Saccharomyces cerevisiae S288C: one gene and its partners. Changing the gene in region 4 together with the main gene of any one other region gives a genetic interaction. Each region holds a gene or a part of one and is shown on either strand. Other genes may lie near its edges. The genes, in order: GPP2, DYN3, MMR1 and YPT7.

Region 1 (5,448 bases), on a different chromosome or scaffold from region 4:
TATTTCGGTCGATGACTAAATGTTAATTGATTAATATTTTTGCTAATCATTGAAATGATTGGTTTTAATGGATAAATCTCGACATTCGAATAGATAGCATATAATTCAAAAACGATTATAATGGGATATATATATAAGTTTAATAATATTAACTCCCTTCCCATTTCTTGAAGAGAAGAGATGTGTTAACTCCTCCAAATCCGAAGCTGTTGCATAATGCGTACTTCGGATTAGCTCCCACAATAGGTTTGTCTCTTATGAAATGTAGCTTATCGGCCTCGTTATTTTCTAGAGTCAGAACATTGTCCAGGTTTAAGGTATGCGGCATCTTATCATCCTTCAAGGAACAAATTGTAAATATACTTTCTACGGCGCCAGCTGCACCTAAAAGATGGCCAATTGCACCTTTGTTACTGGATATGTACAGTGGCTTGCTTTTGGATCTTCCTGGTAAGAGTGCTGAGGCTACTGCCAGACACTCTGCTTTATCGCCTAGTAAAGTTGATGTAGCATGTGCATTGACGTAGTCAACATCAGTTGGTTCTAATCTAGCCATTTTTAGAGCCATCTCTATTGCTCTTTTGGCACCATTTCCATCAGCAGGAGGGGAGGTAATATGGCAGGCATCACTGCTTAAACCATAGCCCACGAGCTCAGAAATTATGTTTGCATTTCTCTTTTGAGCATGTTCTAGCGATTCCATGACAATCATTCCGCATCCTTCACCAAGTACGAATCCAGAACGTTGTGTATCAAAGGGTCTAGAGATCCCGTTTGTAGTAATCGACTTTGCTCTGATGAAACCTGCTAAACTTAACGGATGCAAACTCGTTTCACTTGCACCGGCGACACAGATGTCTTGCATGCCTAACCGAATAAAATTGAATGCATCGCCAATGGAGTTATTACCTGTTGCGCATGCTGTGGAAACACTATGGGATAATCCTCTAAGGTTAAACTTGATGGAAACATTACCAGCTGCCATATTTGTAAGGATTTTAGGGACGAAATATGGATTTATTCTTTTATTGTCGTTATGGAATTGTAGAGAAGTTTGGTATATGTCTTGAATGGATCCTATACCAGAACCTATCAGGCAACCAAAGTGATCCAGATTGCACAGAGATGTATTGATGGTTATATCATTTGGGTTCAAGAGACCAGCATTGTGAAGCGCTTCATAAGTTGTACGTAGTGCTAGCTTGATAAAGCTTGAGGTTCTTCTCTCATCCTGGCTAGTGAACAGCAGTTTATTGATGGCTGAATTTTCGTTTTGAAAATTCTCTGGAATCTTCCCCACTGTTATCGTTGATGGGATACTTTTTTCTCTGAGTTTGTAGTCCTCATTATAGTTGGGCAAAGATGTGATTGGTGTGAGTCCATTTTTGGAAGAGAGCAGATTCCCCCATGACTCACTTAATGATCTTCCCAACGGCGTTACACAGCCCAATCCTGTGATAACCACTCTTCTTGACATTTCTTTACTAGAAATTAAATTTTAATCCGTTGTGGCTCCTGTCACTTTCAAGTTGCTAATAACCTGATAACGTTTAAGGATTTTACTTCCTTTTTTATCATTTATTTTTCTGAGATGAGACAGAGTCAGAAATAATAGCACACTATATGTTTTAAAAAAAAAAATCTATCTACGTATTTATTTAATCAATAAGATGTGATTTTATAAATGTGTCGTTTTTTAGCATCATTACTTGTTTTGTGGCGAATATAGAATAGGACTGTATCTGAGAATTATTACTCAAATATGTTCGATTTTAGAGGATTACCATTTCAACAGATCGTCCTTAGCATATAAGTAGTCGTCAAAAATGAATTCAACTTCGTCTGTTTCGGCATTGTAGCCGCCAACTCTGATGGATTCGTGGTTTTTGACAATGATGTCACAGCCTTTTTCCTTTAGGAAGTCCAAGTCGAAAGTAGTGGCAATACCAATGATCTTACAACCGGCGGCTTTTCCGGCGGCAATACCTGCTGGAGCGTCTTCAAATACTACTACCTTAGATTTGGAAGGGTCTTGCTCATTGATCGGATATCCTAAGCCATTCCTGCCCTTCAGATATGGTTCTGGATGAGGCTTACCCTGTTTGACATCATTAGCGGTAATGAAGTACTTTGGTCTCCTGATTCCCAGATGCTCGAACCATTTTTGTGCCATATCACGGGTACCGGAAGTTGCCACAGCCCATTTCTCTTTTGGTAGAGCGTTCAAAGCGTTGCACAGCTTAACTGCACCTGGGACTTCAATGGATTTTTCACCGTACTTGACCGGAATTTCAGCTTCTAATTTGTTAACATACTCTTCATTGGCAAAGTCTGGAGCGAACTTAGCAATGGCATCAAACGTTCTCCAACCATGCGAGACTTGGATAACGTGTTCAGCATCGAAATAAGGTTTGTCCTTACCGAAATCCCTCCAGAATGCAGCAATGGCTGGTTGAGAGATGATAATGGTACCGTCGACGTCGAACAAAGCGGCGTTAACTTTCAAAGATAGAGGTTTAGTAGTCAATCCCATTCCGAATATTGTTTTTATTGTTTTATGTTTTTCCACTGATCTGGTAAACACTAGCTGGTTGGCGCTATTAATATGAAAAGAGTTAGACCAAATTGAGTAGAAAAGAAACCTTTGGCAATCCTAACTATGTTGTTTTAGCTTGTGTATTTAAGCGCATATATATATATTTCTGAAAATGACAACATCAAAAGAAACGAACTTATTTAGAATAAAAAGAAACGACTTGGCTTCTTATTATTCCTACTTTACGTCACGTGGGAGGCCCGTTTAGGGGGGCAGCTATGTAGTTTTTCCGAGCGTACTTTCTTTCAGCATCCGAAAAGTCCTCACTTGACGGCTTACACGGAAACGCCGCGGATTGTGGGGCACAGATGATGACGCAGACGGAACACTGCAGAAATCTTTTTACCTTGTCGTTAAAGACGATATTAGAGAGAAGAGTTTGGCTGGGGACAAAGTGCCAGCTTTTCGTTCAGGGCGAGGTGCCAAAATACTTGAGAAGGCCAAACCCCAAAGGACAGGGCCAAATACGTACGCTACGGTAATATCTAATGGGAGAGGGTATAACATTGACCATTTTCGAAGGAGGCATAGGAATTTAGACGCTGATGGATGTTATCAATATTGAAGTTTTTCACCGTTTCCCTCTTTCTCTGCTCCTTTAAAGAACGCAAAGTCTCCTCTTGAGAGAAAGCAGACGATTGGAATTGGTATCTTTCACGTAGCATTGCTTAACCTACGGCCATATTAATGATATGAAGTCATATGAAAATGGCCGAGGCCAGCGGTTCATTCGAGGATATATATTTTATTACCCGGCGTCTCTAGCCGAAGTAAGAAAACACAATGCAACCAGCGTTGGTGGAAGGGCGTGATAATGCTGAATGGGAGAAGAAAGTTGAATAGTGACTCTTCAAATGTGTCCTTTCAGGATGCGCTACTTTCAGAAGTTACAAAGATATCTGTATATTGAATAGAATTTTTTTCACCACTAGAATTGTTCTTGGAGCCAGCACAAGCACTTACAATGGCAGATTATTCTTCCCTTACTGTTGTTCAATTGAAAGATTTACTGACCAAGAGAAATCTGTCTGTAGGCGGATTGAAGAATGAACTAGTTCAAAGACTGATAAAGGACGATGAAGAATCAAAGGGTGAAAGTGAAGTTTCTCCACAGGAACAAAACCAGGAACAAGGGTCAGAACCTGCGGCGATAGAAGAACCAGCCTCCCAGAACATTACTGAAAAAAAGGAAGTTTCAAGCGAGCCTAAAGAAACAAACGAACCCAAGGAGGAAAATAAGGACGTTCAAAAGCCCTCTGATGGACCTTCTGCTACTGCTTCAGAGAACGAACAAGCTGCTGCTTCCACTGCTGCTCCCGCTTTGTCACCAGAAGAAATTAAGGCCAAAGCATTGGATCTTTTAAATAAGAAACTGCACCGCGCTAACAAATTCGGTCAAGATCAAGCGGATATTGACTCTTTACAAAGACAGATAAATCGTGTGGAGAAGTTTGGTGTTGACTTGAATAGCAAGTTGGCTGAAGAACTGGGCCTTGTCAGTAGGAAAAATGAACCTGAAAGTGGCAATAACGGTAAATTTAAAAATAGAAACAAAAATGCAAACAACCGCTCCAGAGTAAGTAAAAACAGGAGAGGCAACCGCTCTGGTTACAGAAGATAAAGGCTCAAGCCGTTTTGGTGGAGTTTTTCATTCTAGTTTCGGTTCTTTCCCACTTTTTAAACGACCGCAGTTGTTTGTATATGAAGGTGCAAAATTTGTTGCATACGTAAACATGTGTAGATTATTCTAAATAAATCTGTGTTATTAAATCCGAAGAGTCGGCGGTTCACTGTATTACACATACAGTGGCTGTCAACGTTGTAAAGTGCTAGTAGAGAATGAGCGGCGAGATTTACAGACTGAACATTCTTGTACAAGTTACAATGATGATAGAGGAAAAATAAGCTATGATAAATAGTTCATAGTAATGCAGGTGGGGATGATGCAAGCGGGCCTATTTATTTTGAAATAGTACTGAATGGTTTGGAAAAGGTGGAATTTTCAATCTGCAACGATATCGCGCTCAACATCTTTAACCTGTCATCATCGTACGTATTTGGGACTTCAATTGAAGGCAATGTAATGATAGTGCTATCTGCCGATGTGCTTGACCTCGTCACTCGAGGCTCTTCTTTACCGGGAGTGCTTGCATCTTTCGTTGAAGAATGTGCACTCAAGACCTCAGATGTGGAGTGTGGCCTCATTGGATTGGACTGTTTATTACTACAAACCAAGGGATATTGATGGAGTGTCATGTGATAGATAATTTCGTTGATTGGTGCCAAAGATGCATCAAACCCATAATCTTTGACAAGAGATCCCAGTATGAGATTCAGCACTCTCACCTGAATTTTTTCTTGTGATAGGTCAGCGAATAGTTGACGTGTAGCGGGCATAAATAGCCTTTGCGATAGAATAGTCAAAAATTCGATTGATGACAGCCGTTCAGTAAGATATTGCTTAGTAGAAGACGGTAAATGTGAAAAGCTGTTTTCTACCACAAGGGAAATGGAAGCCATTAGTGAATTTTTGCCCAGCGTTTCTAGATTAGCAAAAGAATCCAAATTTCTTTCATCCTTAGACATCTCCAAGCACGTCCTTGAGTTATGTATCTTTGACAGGATGAGTTTTCTCAAGTTGTTGGATATTACAACTTTGCTTTGGCACCCTTTTTTTTTCGTTAAATTTGGTCTAATGAACTTATCTCTTTGAATTTGTTCAGGTAGTGGAATAGCATTATTTACAATTTCAACAATTATTGATTTGGCAATAAAGTCGTATTCTTGTTCACTTTCTAGAGGCTGATCTTCTATATCAAACTTTTGTAATTTTTCATCGCCGCCGTGCGCAT
Region 2 (6,106 bases), 600 kb from region 4:
TATACTCATCTATATTCTTTTGAAAATGTATAAAAGTGACGATTGGAGATGGTGCAATTTTCTACGCAGCATGAAAAATATCTAAGGAAGGTAAGGTACATACCAAGTAAGTCTTATAATATGTTGTTGTACCTCACTTTACCATTCTTAAAGTCTTTAAAAGAAATTACCTTACCCAATTTGCACAGCAAAGGTCACTGACCTATACGTGCCCTTCATCAGATTACATCACGTGAAATTTCACTGGGAAAGAGCGCGAGGGCTTTCCGATGACTTTCTACATTAATAATCGCAAACAAAGCAATCAGCACAGCAAAGAGTACAATTTCGAAAATTGCGACAGAGCAACGTAAGTATATCGTTGTTGATAGATTCCACTCCAACCTGCAAATGCTGCTTCTTCCAAGATGTCCTGTAATTGGGCGAATTGTAAGATCAAAATTTAGATCTGGTCTAATCCGGAACCATTCGCCCGTTATATTTACTGTGTCTAAGTTATCAACCCAGCGGCCTCTGTTATTCAATTCAGCTGTGAATTTATGGAATCAAGCACAAAAGGATATTACGCACAAAAAATCCGTCGAGCAATTCTCGTCGGCTCCAAAAGTGAAGACTCAGGTAAAAAAGACCAGCAAGGCCCCAACCCTCTCGGAACTGAAAATCTTGAAAGATCTATTTCGCTATATTTGGCCCAAAGGCAACAATAAAGTGAGGATAAGGGTACTGATTGCCCTTGGACTGTTGATATCCGCCAAAATTTTAAATGTTCAAGTACCTTTTTTTTTCAAGCAAACTATTGATTCAATGAATATAGCATGGGATGATCCTACAGTCGCCCTTCCGGCAGCGATTGGATTAACCATTCTTTGCTATGGTGTTGCAAGGTTCGGCTCTGTTTTATTCGGCGAACTGAGGAACGCCGTATTTGCCAAAGTGGCACAGAATGCCATTAGAACTGTGTCGCTACAAACTTTCCAGCACCTTATGAAGTTAGATTTGGGATGGCACTTGAGTAGACAAACGGGTGGTCTGACGAGGGCCATGGATAGAGGTACAAAGGGTATATCTCAAGTGTTAACGGCCATGGTATTCCACATTATCCCTATAAGTTTTGAAATATCTGTCGTTTGTGGGATTTTGACGTATCAATTCGGTGCGTCATTTGCCGCAATAACATTCAGTACAATGCTTTTATACTCCATTTTCACTATAAAGACGACCGCATGGAGGACACATTTTAGAAGGGATGCTAACAAGGCCGATAACAAAGCTGCCAGTGTGGCTTTAGATTCTTTAATTAATTTTGAGGCGGTAAAATACTTCAACAATGAAAAATATCTTGCAGATAAGTATAATGGCTCCTTGATGAACTATCGTGACTCTCAAATTAAAGTATCGCAATCTCTAGCATTTTTGAACTCCGGCCAAAATCTAATTTTTACTACTGCCCTAACTGCAATGATGTATATGGGTTGCACCGGCGTTATTGGTGGCAACTTGACAGTTGGTGACTTGGTTCTAATTAATCAGTTGGTTTTTCAACTATCAGTACCGCTAAATTTTCTTGGTAGTGTTTACAGAGATTTAAAGCAGTCTCTGATTGATATGGAAACGCTATTTAAGTTAAGAAAAAATGAAGTCAAGATTAAAAATGCCGAACGTCCCTTAATGCTTCCAGAAAATGTTCCCTACGATATTACTTTTGAGAACGTCACGTTTGGATATCATCCCGATAGGAAAATTTTAAAGAATGCCAGCTTTACCATCCCAGCAGGCTGGAAAACCGCAATAGTTGGGTCTTCGGGCAGTGGGAAGTCCACCATTTTAAAATTAGTCTTTAGATTTTATGATCCTGAAAGCGGAAGGATCCTCATAAACGGTAGAGATATTAAAGAATATGACATCGATGCCTTGAGGAAGGTGATTGGTGTGGTACCACAGGACACACCACTTTTCAATGACACTATCTGGGAAAATGTAAAGTTCGGTCGTATTGACGCAACCGACGAGGAAGTGATAACTGTAGTTGAAAAAGCCCAGCTAGCACCCTTAATCAAGAAATTACCACAAGGTTTTGACACCATCGTCGGGGAGCGAGGGTTGATGATCAGCGGTGGTGAAAAGCAAAGGCTGGCAATTGCAAGGGTACTATTGAAGAATGCAAGGATCATGTTTTTTGACGAGGCCACAAGCGCCTTGGACACACACACAGAACAAGCTCTCTTACGAACCATTAGAGATAACTTTACTTCGGGTTCGAGAACGAGTGTATACATCGCACATAGACTGAGGACAATTGCAGATGCAGACAAGATCATAGTCCTTGACAACGGAAGAGTAAGAGAGGAAGGTAAGCATCTTGAACTGTTGGCTATGCCAGGGTCATTGTACCGCGAACTTTGGACCATACAAGAAGATCTGGATCATTTAGAGAATGAACTAAAAGACCAGCAAGAACTATGAACGCTCGTAAGTAAATATTGATTTATACATGTATAAGTTTTTCAAGATTTAAGGAAAAAAGAAAAGTTATTATCTTTCTCCGCGGTTTTTCAATGACCCGATGTATTGACTCTTCCTGACCGAAAATAACAGGACAGAGTTAGAACGAACATGAATAATAAAATATAATCTGGGATCATGAATCCGAATGACTGCTCATGCGGCAAATGTCAGAGCTTCGGTGTATTTAAAGTTTGCTTACTTACAATTTCAATAATAGGTTTGTACTTTTCAGATTCTTATTATTAAGTCAAGGTAAAGTCCTTCGTTTTTTTTTTTTTCATTTTAGAAAAATTTCAACAGCCACCGTACAATTTTATTCACTTTTAAGTCATAGTTGCGAAGACATCGTCTTGAAAGTAGTAGATTTCGTTCTAATAAGTTTAGCAAAGAAAGAGGTACAGCAAACAGCAGAATAGAAAAAATGTGTGGTATTTTAGGTATTGTATTAGCAAACCAAACCACTCCAGTAGCTCCGGAGTTATGTGATGGATGCATTTTTCTACAACATCGTGGACAAGATGCAGCTGGTATAGCTACCTGTGGTTCTCGTGGTAGAATCTACCAATGTAAAGGTAATGGTATGGCTCGTGACGTATTTACCCAACAACGTGTTTCCGGTCTTGCTGGTTCCATGGGTATTGCCCACTTGAGATATCCTACAGCCGGGTCTTCGGCTAATTCAGAAGCGCAACCATTTTACGTCAATAGTCCTTACGGTATTAACTTGGCACATAACGGTAACTTGGTGAATACTGCATCATTGAAGAGATATATGGATGAAGACGTTCATAGACATATTAACACGGACAGTGATTCGGAGTTACTATTGAATATTTTTGCTGCTGAACTGGAAAAACATAACAAGTACAGAGTTAACAATGAAGATGTTTTCCACGCGTTAGAAGGTGTTTACCGTTTATGCCGTGGCGGTTATGCTTGCGTTGGTTTACTTGCCGGTTTTGCATTATTTGGTTTCAGAGATCCAAATGGTATTAGGCCATTATTGTTCGGTGAAAGAGAAAATCCGGACGGCACTAAGGACTATATGTTAGCTTCAGAAAGTGTTGTTTTCAAAGCTCACAACTTTACTAAATATCGTGACTTAAAGCCTGGCGAGGCAGTTATCATCCCTAAGAACTGTAGCAAAGGTGAACCTGAGTTCAAACAAGTGGTTCCTATTAACTCTTATAGACCTGATTTATTTGAATACGTATATTTCGCCAGACCGGACAGTGTCTTGGATGGAATATCAGTTTATCACACAAGATTGGCTATGGGTTCTAAATTAGCGGAAAATATTCTAAAGCAACTGAAGCCAGAAGATATTGATGTTGTTATTCCCGTCCCAGATACTGCAAGAACATGTGCACTAGAATGTGCTAATGTGTTAGGGAAGCCTTATAGAGAGGGCTTTGTTAAAAACAGATACGTGGGCAGGACATTTATCATGCCAAACCAGAGGGAAAGGGTTTCTTCAGTAAGGAGGAAGCTTAACCCTATGGAGTCTGAATTTAAGGGTAAGAAGGTTCTGATAGTGGATGATTCTATTGTCAGAGGTACTACTTCAAAAGAGATTGTTAACATGGCCAAGGAATCCGGTGCAACAAAGGTTTACTTCGCTTCAGCTGCCCCAGCCATTCGTTACAACCATATTTATGGTATTGACTTAACAGACACAAAGAACTTGATTGCTTATAACAGAACCGATGAAGAAGTGGCGGAAGTAATCGGTTGTGAAAGAGTCATTTACCAATCATTGGAAGATTTGATTGATTGTTGTAAAACTGATAAAATAACCAAATTCGAAGATGGTGTATTTACCGGAAATTATGTCACTGGTGTTGAAGACGGTTATATTCAAGAATTGGAAGAAAAACGTGAATCGATCGCAAATAATTCATCAGATATGAAGGCTGAAGTCGATATCGGATTATATAATTGTGCAGATTATTGATAGATTGTTCCGAACTTGTTCAGTTGTATGTAAAATAGTTTCCAAATGCGCCCATTTATACATAATTATCTTTGTATTCTGACCTAAACTAAATATATATATATATATGCACGTATTAAAAAAAAAAATAAAAGCAAAAAGGTAAACAAAGAGAAGTAATCCGCAACTTGTACAAAAAGAAAAGAAGATAAAAGAATTGTATGTATTAATGGATAATTGTAATGCCTGGGACAAATTATTGTCTCAGAATGAATCCACAATCAACAGCACAGAGACTGCTACGATAACAGCAATCATATATTCCCCATCAAGTAAAACACTGCATCAATTTATAAATATCTGTTTTCCAGAGGGAAGCAATTCAATACTGGATACCACTTTGATTAATTACGCCACCATAGGATGGACCAACGACTTAAAGGAAAATTATTCTGTCGATGTTTACACGCTAATAAGAAACACTGACGATGCACTAGATCTTCTAAAGCCGTTTTTACAAGAACATAGTTCGAAGGTTCGCTGGCTCATATTATTAGATTGGACACTGAACGACCAAAAGTTGTGGCTGAATGAACTATCCTACGCATTCAATAAAATTAAGCAACTGAATGACGATAATGAATTTTCTGTATGGTGCTTAAACAGTGGCGAAATATTAAACTTACAAAGACACACTACAGTATGGCAGTCAGTACATATTGACTTCATTTTGCAAACGTTAAGATCGTTTTGCTATTTTAATGATAGCTCACTATTCTATATATGCGAAGACCATACCGAAGAGAAACGAGAGGAAGCACAAAGGCTTAAATACCAAGAGCTTCTAAAGCATTTTTGTGAAGATAGAGATATGAAAGATCATATTGAAATGGTCAAACGCAGTGAGATATTAATACCGAAGGGGTGCGATTCTATTGGATTGATAAAAACAGTAGACGAAAGATTTGAGCCTACTGAGGTGAAAGAGCAACACTTTTTGGCCCGATATATGGACTTTATACCAACAATTGATAAAATCAGAGAAGATAGGAAAACAACCTCTGGTATCGACCTTGATAAACTATATCCTTTAGAAGTTTTCAAAGTTAATATTCAAGAGGAATTAGGCAAAATGTTCGCAAAATATAGGGAAAATTCGAGGATTTAGGAAAGTGGGCAGGCGATACTTCTTTTATCATGAGCAATTTTTTTCTCTTTATATGTATAAATATAGATATGCACACGCATTTATAAATCCCTATATCAGGGTTGGATTTCTTCTATGTTTATGTATGTAAAAGAAAGAATTCACATGTGATAAATTGTGGAATCAGCACATAGTTCTTGAACCAGCTCAGAGTCTGTGTCGTACCCGACATAAGCTACGTAGCCAGGTTCACCTTTATCTTCGTGAATTGGGTAGTGGACGGGTGGAACATTATCATTCTCGATGATACAGAACGAGAGATGTTCATCATTTGGTTCATAATCTCTAGTGATTCTCTTTACTATAGTTTTATATTCGCCTCTTTTGTCACAACTTGGCCCACCACGTGCCCAAAGCTTGATTACTGAGCCAGACTGGGGTTCTTTGATTGGGGTACAATGGAACCATTCATAGTTAATTCTTGTACCATACTTGAAGTATTCAACCGCAGCGATCAGCAA
Region 3 (6,370 bases), on a different chromosome or scaffold from region 4:
ATTCATATAAAAATAAATACGCATATGTGTACGTAGGAGATTGTGTTTTCAAGATGGAGAATATAATGTGTTTTTGCACCGTTATCTGGCTTTTTGTTAAGAAGTACTTCGTCTCGTTTCTGCTGATTCTCCCTGGAATATTTACATTACTTTAGATTTTACTATATATATATGCGAATATATGTGTGCAAATATTGATGCACTAGTGTGTACGCGTTTCATCATCAACATGCTCAATTTTCTTCCGTCTTTTTATGATCTCAATATAGTTATACGGAATGTAGCCAATATTGCCGTTCTTTGTCCTCACTTTCCACCAGTCAGAATCCCTCCCAAGAGGGTCTTTCTTACTCAAAATTGCCATCAAGTCGCCCTTTTTTAAAGCAACTTCCATCTCTGGGTTTTCTGGAACAAAATCATATAACGCTCTTGCAAATTCTAACTTCGAAGGATCAATAGGCTCGCTACCATTTCCTTGCGATGCTCGTATGGTTCCAGAGGTCTGTAGTTTAGTAATAAATTTGTTTAGTAGATATGGAAAACCAAATACTGCCATCAAAAAAAATAGTAGCGGTTTCCATGAAATTTTCCTTCTTGTGGCTTTCTCATTAGAATTTATGGTACCACTATCATTAAACTTTTGAAAATCTTCAATTAGTTTATTTTTGCTTCCTTCAGATTCTGCGAAATTCTTTGGTGGTATTCCTAGTCTCCCCTTAGTAGCACGATAGAGTATTTTTTTAAGAAACTTCATTATAGCAAAGATACCAAAAAATGAACCTAGCATTTCCTTCAAATTACCAAACTGTTCTGCGACGGATATCATGGTGAAAAACGAGTTGTGTGTGGCCATATAAGTAGATTCCAGCATTTGTGCAAATCCAGTAACAGCGCCTATCAAACTTTCTATTAACTGAAAGGTGGCCTTCGTCGACTCACCTAGTCCACTTCCATTATTCATTCCATATCCCGCTCCTGCACCGTACCCTCCTCCATAAAACGATCCATAATTGTTGCCATAGTACGATCCTCCATAGCCATACCTCCCTATGCTGTTTCCGTATATAGAGTTCATACTATACGGATTATTATCATAGGGTATCCCATAATTGCTATTACCGTATATTCCCGGTATTGTATTCGATTCGCCGTAGGTACCAGAGGAGTTAAGTGCCGCAGGCCGCGGCAAAACTTCGGGAGCAGACTCACTTGCACTATTACTGTTATTGCTTTCTTCAGTTGGCCTGGAATCCTGCTGATTCGAGGTCATCATCGCACTTAAAGACTGAGCATTACGCTGTGGCTCCTCTAACGAAGCACTGGTCTCCCAAGGTTTAGGTCGTGGTACTGCTGTGGATGACATCGCAGGTATTGTTATAGTATAGAATCCCCTTGATATTTATAGATAGTATATGCACTTTCGAAATTGTTGTTCATTTCCACATGCGTTTGCTCACCAACTATCTGATATAATTAATATTAGTCCGGCGGGCTTCGGAAATAAAAAAAATTTGGCCCGCTGAAAAAGGTGTCATTAATCAGATAAAAGAAGACTTTATTATATCATTTTTTTTGGTAATTAATGTATTTAAGTATAGGTTGAATAAACTTGAATGCAATATATAAATTATGTGTTTGTGATACCAGTCACACCGTGATTGGATTTTCTATTCAGCTTTTAAAAGCGGGGTATTTGCTTAGACGACACTATGAATAAATAGCTGCAGCATTCGACGTTGTAAGAAAAAAGATTAAATCACACGACAAGCCCTTTGAAGTTCAGTAATATTCAAATAAAAATTGTCCAATGAGAAGGATGGATAACGGAGAAATCACGCACATTGCAGATGCGTAACTCGATAGCCTACAATACAAAGCGCCTATCAGCATTGATGTATTGTGAATGTTTGTGTAAAATAAGTTAATTTAATTTGAAGTTGACGCTTCATTTTTCCTTCTTCTCCACTTGGACAGGAAGGTTAAGTTGGAAACCTCTTTTACTTTCCCCACTCTGCACAGATGCTGTTGTGGAAATAGCAGAAGTTGGCTCCTCTTCAAAAGCAACATTTAAATCTTCGCTAGTATTAGCATCCGTATCATCGTTTGTTAGATGATCTTCCTCGGACGAAGTTCCCGAAGAAGAATCTGGCTGTTCTTCAATTTTCTTTAGGTCTAAAACAGAAACGCGTGCCAGTCTAGTCTTAGGGCATGGGATTCTTGCTGAATTTCCTTCAGTTTTTGAAGTGGAGGTGGCCACTACTGCGGAGGATTCAGTCAATTTCTTAAGAACTTTTTTACAATTGAAGAATTTTTTCTCCAGTTGCTTGACTTTTCTCTCAATATCTCTTTGGGATCTTTGAGCCTGTATACTAGGATCCTTCATAACCTCAAGCATAAATCTTTCTTCAATGTATCTGTTCGTCGTCATGGAATGCACTAATTTTTCATTCTGCAACTTTAATTCTGTAATTTCAAGTTCTAGCTGCTTGATCTTTATGTCTAAATTCGATTTTTCACGACTATTTGCCTCCTCTGCATTGGCCATAGAGGCCATTTGCATTGAAATATGTTGTTGTCCGTCACACCATTCGGGCTCATAGTCCGTCGACGTAGACGAGATAAAGCTATATCTGTTGTTGTTGTTATTGCCTTTGAGACCATATTGAACGAACCCGTTATTATCCGTAGGTAAATTGTCTAGATTCAGATCCTTAGGCAATTCGTTCACTTCGGTGCTTAGACACTGAGTGGAGCCGCCGGAGACGACTCTAAGTCCTTTGTCCTCGACCTTTCGCACCCCATGATTTTCTGGATCTTCCAAAGGAGTAGCAGGAACAGGAACGTATGAGGGGAGCAACCCTTCGGCGTTTTTCCGTAATATCGGTTCTTCCGCACAGACTTTGGCCTCAAATGAAGGGGGATTGCGTTCTTTCTTTTGTACTTGCGCAACGGATTCTGAACTGCGCAGCTGCTCTAGTTTGTCCTTGATGCTTTGTTTAATGATGTTTTTCTCTATGTTCAATGGATCAGGGTTTGAATTCTGGCCTTCACTAGTAGTTTTCTTGCTATTCTTCAATAGGGCAGATAGCAATGGCAGATTACTGGTTGTTTGAGATAGGTACTCGGGTTTTAACATCTTTGGAGTGTTGTTCAAAAACTGAAACCTAATAGGCGATACAGACCTCATAGTGTCAGAGCCCCTTCTTTGTTTAGAACGTCCACCTCTTGATAACTCGCTCAATTTAGAGAGTGATGTTGGATATAACAAGGAATTACCAATCGGGCCAGTGTCTAATTTTAGCTTCGTAGGTGAGTTCAATAGATTTTGAAAAGAGCCTGCATTTCTTTGGTCATCCAAACAAAAGGACATTGGTGAGAGTTTTGGAGTAAGTTGTTCCGATTTCATTGTTGGAGAATTCATTTTTTTAGTTGTTTAGTTTATTAGTTGTGTTTTTTTTTTTTGATTTTGCAATGAGTACTGGCTTGTAACAAGTTAAAAGAAAAGAAGATTAGTTAAGAACAACGGAATTGAAACGAAAGTAAAATAGTTGGAACCGAGGATAACTATGTTGATTTAAAAGACTTCACACGCGATTCTTTTTCCTTACTGCTATTTAGGAAGATGTGCCCCTCCAAACCTTTCCTTTATTCCCAAGGCAATCAAAATAACAGAAAATACAGCAGTAATAAAGCTTAATTCTCTAGGCTCACTTAAACTGAGCAACAATTTGTTGATCGTACGTGTTATTTAATACTATCAGGAAAAAATAATCTAAATGTGAGAAAAACTTCTATCTGTAACCACTTTGTCTTGAATGAACGTAGAAAATTTAAAAACGATCAAGCTTGCGTGAGAGAACTTGTAAAGTAAGGAAATCTGATTTCTAAACCCATAATGATTCTTCATCGAGCTTTCTTGCCAATTGGCTAATTAGAACTCTTTTTAGTTTATTTCCCGAAAGGGGTATTTATATTTTGCCCGTTTGGGACAAAATTAACCCTGCTTACACCAGGGTTTATCTAGAAATAAAATAGGTCATTGTTTTGAGATGACTTGGAAAAACTTAACCCTGATGTGACTGTAACATAACATCTAAGAAAAAAGGGACTAAAAGTCAACAGAAGGAGTAGATCGGAAAGTCATTGCATTTATCACTGATAAAGTCATGGCTGTCAAAAAGTAAACATCAGAAGTTCAGTTGCACTTTATGCTTTGGTGAAAATCCGTATAACTTAAAAGAATGCCCATCACTCAAATCATATCAGCGTCTGATAGCGAGGCGGGGCCAAAACCAAGCATTTCGTTGGTACCTGATAAGCCATCTGAGCCAGAAACTTCCCCTAGGCATCATCGCCTTTCAAGGTCACTTTCGAAGTTCAAGCGCTGGAGAGGAAGATCAAATAGCAGTTTATCGATGGGGTCGTCTGAGCAGCAAGAACTGCAGGACAGTCCAAATGAAGCCCGTAGTGATGATGACGAAAACGGTTACAATAACGATAATGCAGATGACTTGGCGAAATCCAAGTATATGATGAAAAGTATTGCCGGTTTATTAACTACTGCTAGTGTGTATGCAGGGATGAATAATGCTCAAGAAATGAATGTGTTGTCGCAAGTTGATTCTGAAGAATCTGATTCCAGTGATAGTTTCCAGGAAAACATTGGTCGAAATGAGGTAAAAAGCAAAAAGGAAAATCTCAAAACTAAATCGCATCCGGAAGTACCAAGATTAGACAAAAGAAAGCCAACTTTATTCGACTTCTCAATAACTAGGGAAAAACTGTCAAAAGACAATGTGGCTAAGTTGAGACAGCGGTTTTGTTTAGACGAACAGGAACCATTTTTGAATGATTTCCCTGCATGGCTACTTAAAGATGTGTTGGTTCAAGGCCATATTTTTATTACAACAAAACATTTCCTATTCTTTGCATATTTACCTAAGAATCCTCGGTCGGTTAAAATGTCTGGAAACCTTAATATCAGGACAAAACTAATTAGGTCTACCAGGTATTGGTGCGTACTAAAGAATCATTTATTTTCTATGTATACCTCATCAACTGAGCTATACTTTCCGGTTTTAACCATAGATTTGAGGGAGGTCCAAAAAATTGAAACACAAAAACATACCTTAAACGGGAGTGCTACGAAAACATTTAAGCTTTACACAGATGAAAGTACATTCAAATTCAATGCAGATTCAGAGTTCTCCGCTAAATCGTGGGTGAACGCTTTGAAAAAGGAGCAGTTCGCAGCTCAGAATTCTGAAAACAATTCGATAAGTTTAAAAATTCCGCTGCCCAACATTATAGAGATAGATGATCAACCTATAGTCAACAAAGCTTTAACATTGAGATTAAGAGCTTTGGAGAGCTCACAGACCTATGCTATCGATGATTTCATGTTTGTTTTCATGGATGGGTCCGGTAGTCAGGTCAAAGAGAGCCTTGGCGAACAGTTGGCTATATTGCAGAAATCCGGTGTTAATACACTTTATTATGATATTCCAGCCAAGAAATCAAAATCAAGTTTTGGAAAAGAGACACCAGCTACAGTTGAGCAAAAGAATAACGGCGAGGATTCAAAATATTTGAATGTTCCAACTTCGGCTGTGCCTTCTTCGGAAAATGGGAAAAAGAGTCGATTCAGATTTAGAGAAAGAAGCAATAGTTGGTTTCGTAGAGCTAAACCTCTTGAAGATTCTCAAGTTGAGGATGTGGAGGAAATATATAAAGATGCGGCGAATGATATAGACTCTTCTGTGCATTCCACGATTCATATTCATGAACAAGAAGATAGTCAAGAGCAAACCGTAGCTTGGAAGCCAAGTCACCTCAAAAATTTTGCCGAAATGTGGGCTGCCAAACCAATACACTACCGGAACAAGTTTATCCCGTTTCAAAAGGATGATACCTATTTGATTAAAGAAACAGAAGAGGTTTCTGCTAACGAGCGGTTCAGGTACCATTTCAAGTTTAATAAAGAGAAGTCACTAATCAGTACTTACTACACATACCTGAATAGAAATGTTCCCGTTTATGGTAAGATTTACGTATCCAATGATACGGTGTGCTTCAGATCGTTATTACCAGGGTCTAATACATACATGGTTTTGCCATTGGTTGATGTGGAGACATGCTATAAAGAAAAGGGATTTCGATTTGGTTATTTTGTATTGGTTATAGTAATTCACGGTCACGAGGAGCTATTTTTTGAATTTAGCACTGAGGTCGCCAGGGATGATATTGAACGCATTCTTTTAAAGCTCTTAGATAACATATATGCAAGCAGTGCAGAAGGATCGAATATATCGAGTGCTTCTCTTGGCGATGTTCAGCATAACCCTGACTCAGCGAAGTTGAAGCTTTTCGA
Region 4 (2,949 bases):
AAAAATCCTGATTTATATTCATTTTATTACTGTATTCCTTTTTTCAAGGCGGGAGAAACTTATACCGCCATAGTAAAATAAATAGTGACTAAGGTAGCCAGAACTTCTCATCAACAAATTGCGAAATTAATTTCTCTTAGAAAAGCCATTCATTGGAAAAATGAAATACCGTAAATTTTAATCATCCATTGCAAGATCTTTTATATACTCTGTGCAGTTTTTTCAACTCTAGCCAATTTATCCTGTCGTTGAAATCTAAATCTCTAAGAGCAATTTGAGATTTCGATATACATTCGGAGAAAAATTATTTTTACGCTGACGTTATATTTAAAGTTCGGAACGCATACACATTAAAAATCCTTTTTTCAAAAAACAACAAAAATATTTTAGTATTTTCAAATATTAAAAAAGAAAAATAAATATTTTGTTAGGTAGTCATGTGATTTTTTGTCACGTTTTGTTGAGTTATATTATCTCAAGTGTAGTAAATCGCTTTATTTAACAGTTGTGTTAATTAACTAAGGTTCATAGACAGATTGCACATGGTAATCGAAAGCCTCATATTGAAAGGGCCATCACATCCCTAAATATATTTAGTAGTTTTAAATTATTAATTTTTTTAAGGATACGCTATAAAGGATTACATAATAGAAGATACAATTAAGTAGTACAGCTCAACAGCTACAAGAATTATTTTCTCCATCTAGGCGAATATTGATGGCATCATTATAGTCATCTTCAAAGGCTTCTGTATCAGCTTGATTCTGTTGTAAAGCACTCCTTGCAATTTCTTCAAATGCGGTATCAACGTTTATGGCGTTTTTGGCACTTGTTAAAAACAAAGGAATATCGCCTAATGATTTAGCAAGCTCCTGAGCGGACTTTTCTGATACAATTTTTTTAGATTCTTCGGCATCAATTTTATTTCCCAGTATAACAAATGGAAATGTTTCTGGTGAGTTTACGTTCGCATGCACTAGAAATTCATCTCGCCAAGACTTAATATTCTCAAAGGAACTGGCATTGGTCACATCGTAGACCAAAACGCAACAATCTGCACCTCTATAGAAAGCAACACCCAGTGATTGGAAACGTTCCTGTCCAGCAGTATCCCAAACTTGCATGGTGGCAACTTTATCACCGTCAACTGTCACCTCTTTTGTTAAAAAGTCAGCCCCAATTGTTGCTTTATACTGTTGAGAATACTTATCATTGACATAACGGTGCATCAAGGAGGTCTTCCCAACACCAGAGTCACCTAGGATGATTACTTTCAAAATATTTTTTTTTCTAGAAGACATCACTTAATTTGAATTGATACAGAAGGGGTTTCTATATGGATAAGAAGTGGACTGGATGAGCTTATTCCTCTTATTTTGTTGGTGATTCCCAATGCTGTTCCTCTGTAACGACTGCTTTCAAGATAAAGGTACAGATTAACAAAAGGAACTTCTTCTCTCAGTAGGTCGAAATGCGAAAAGTTAATCCGCGAGATACAAACGTTACCCGTACCGGTGAGTTCTGAGGTTATTCCAATCACTGAAGAATCGTCAGCTATTACAGAGTAAAACAGCTGTCACTCTTTTCGAGTTACGGAGCTGCCCGTATATATATATATATGTAATGATGTTTCTTTCAAACTCTTTATCTCTTATTTTTGGGTAAAAAATTCTATAGAACAAGTGAGAAGAAGGTAAAATATTGCAATGCTCAGTCAATCTTAAACACATTCTTGAAGAACGCTAATGTTGGTTGTGGCAAATGCCACAAGACTACGCTGATCTAAGCACGCCTTCCTGAACTCCATATAATTGCTTAGTTCCTCGGCCAACCTTTCGTGAGCTACAAAAATTTCGCTTCCAAGTTCTTTGAGCATTTTTGAAGAGGCCTTTATCTGAACCGCTAGTCTTTGCTCCGATTGTTCACGCTTCGTTTCAATAAAACCACCAAGTGGAGCACGACTAGAGGTATCTGATGCACTTTTTGGCTTAACCATGTTAGGAAAAGCCTTCCGATAGCTTTTATGTAAAGCTAAAAACTCACCATAATGTTTCCACCAGTTCGGAATTTTTTCAAATAAAATTATCTGAACGAAACTAGATAGTTGGATAGTACATTGTTCCAAGAAACGCACGTTTTCTAGTAGTGCTGCTAGCGATAATTCACTGAACATATTATGATTTGTTATAATCCCCTTAAATGCGCTGGATGCTTCACTATTAATTAATTTTCTACCCATTTCGTTAAGACCCTTATAAGCATCCTCGAAATCATCGGATTTCAAATTAATAAATATTAAGACTTTCCTCAAAATATTCAAGCTTGCCTTAAATGATGAAATCTCATCAAAATTAAAACGTAAAAAGCTTTGTATCATATTAATCTCCTCGGGTTCCATTGTTTTTGGATTTTCTTTTCCTGAGGGTTTCTGGTTTCTTTTAGAAGTGTTTATGCGCATCCAATATAAGATAGAAGCCTCATCAGTGAACAAATTTTCTGGAATTTTTTTCAGGAATAAAAGAACGTTGAAGCAGTTAGTTAATTGGTGAAGTAACGATGTGACATCTGTTTTCCCGATTATTGTTAAATCAGAACGGTTTAAGTGCGATATTTCATCGATATAGGTATTTAATGGCAAAAAGGTGAACGGATTGTCTTTCAGAATTGAGCGTAGTAAGCCTTGAATTGTTTTCATGTTAATAACAGTAGTGGCGAAAGGTTTCTCTGCATTTGAAACGGATGTTATATTTGTTGTCGCATTTAAATTATGATATCGCAAAGAATGAAAATATATTAATCCAAAAAGTGAATCTTTGACACCCCTTTCTCCTATCTTGCTTAGTACCGAGTGATCTTTTGCATAATCAAAACAAGTGAAGAAGGTCGAGTTTTGAACCTTCTCTAATATAAGTCGACGGTCTTTCGTGATGGCGTCAATATTACTTAGTC

What was found.
Region 1: mutations in YPT7 (region 4) and GPP2 together harm fitness more than expected from each alone (negative genetic interaction), as found in Saccharomyces cerevisiae (2 studies listed by BioGRID).
Region 2: mutations in YPT7 (region 4) and DYN3 together harm fitness more than expected from each alone (negative genetic interaction), as found in Saccharomyces cerevisiae (3 studies listed by BioGRID).
Region 3: mutations in YPT7 (region 4) and MMR1 together harm fitness more than expected from each alone (negative genetic interaction), as found in Saccharomyces cerevisiae (3 studies listed by BioGRID).

Annotation. Positions count from the first base shown.
Region 1 is NC_001137.3:278,150-283,597, forward strand, and holds GPP2 (glycerol-1-phosphatase GPP2), read right to left. Parts: upstream 2,534-5,448; coding exon 1,781-2,533; downstream 1-1,780. Other genes in the region: FCY22 (purine-cytosine permease), read left to right, coding at 1-15; fatty acid synthase CEM1, read right to left, coding at 149-1,477; THO1 (Tho1p), read left to right, coding at 3,561-4,217; VHR2 (Vhr2p), read right to left, coding at 4,556-5,448. UniProt on the Saccharomyces cerevisiae protein: Glycerol-1-phosphate phosphohydrolase involved in glycerol biosynthesis. Plays a role in osmoadaptation.
Region 2 is NC_001145.3:863,912-870,017, reverse strand, and holds DYN3 (dynein light intermediate chain), read left to right. Parts: upstream 1-4,667; coding exon 4,668-5,606; downstream 5,607-6,106. Other genes in the region: ATP-binding cassette Fe/S cluster precursor transporter ATM1, read left to right, coding at 391-2,463; ADE4 (amidophosphoribosyltransferase), read left to right, coding at 2,927-4,459; sphingosine N-acyltransferase subunit LIP1, read right to left, coding at 5,747-6,106. UniProt on the Saccharomyces cerevisiae protein: Component of the cytoplasmic dynein which acts as a motor for the intracellular retrograde motility of vesicles and organelles along microtubules. May play an important role in the proper orientation of the mitotic spindle into the budding daughter cell yeast.
Region 3 is NC_001144.5:532,265-538,634, reverse strand, and holds MMR1 (Mmr1p), read right to left. Parts: upstream 3,422-6,370; coding exon 1,946-3,421; downstream 1-1,945. Other genes in the region: peroxin PEX13, read right to left, coding at 203-1,363; ATG26 (sterol 3-beta-glucosyltransferase), read left to right, coding at 4,242-6,370. UniProt on the Saccharomyces cerevisiae protein: Involved in the guiding of mitochondrial tubules to the bud tip during cell division.
Region 4 is NC_001145.3:265,526-268,474, reverse strand, and holds YPT7 (Rab family GTPase YPT7), read right to left. Parts: upstream 1,302-2,949; coding exon 675-1,301; downstream 1-674. Other genes in the region: VRL1 (Vrl1p), read right to left, coding at 1,721-2,949. UniProt on the Saccharomyces cerevisiae protein: Ypt/Rab-type GTPases are key regulators of membrane trafficking and intracellular vesicular transport.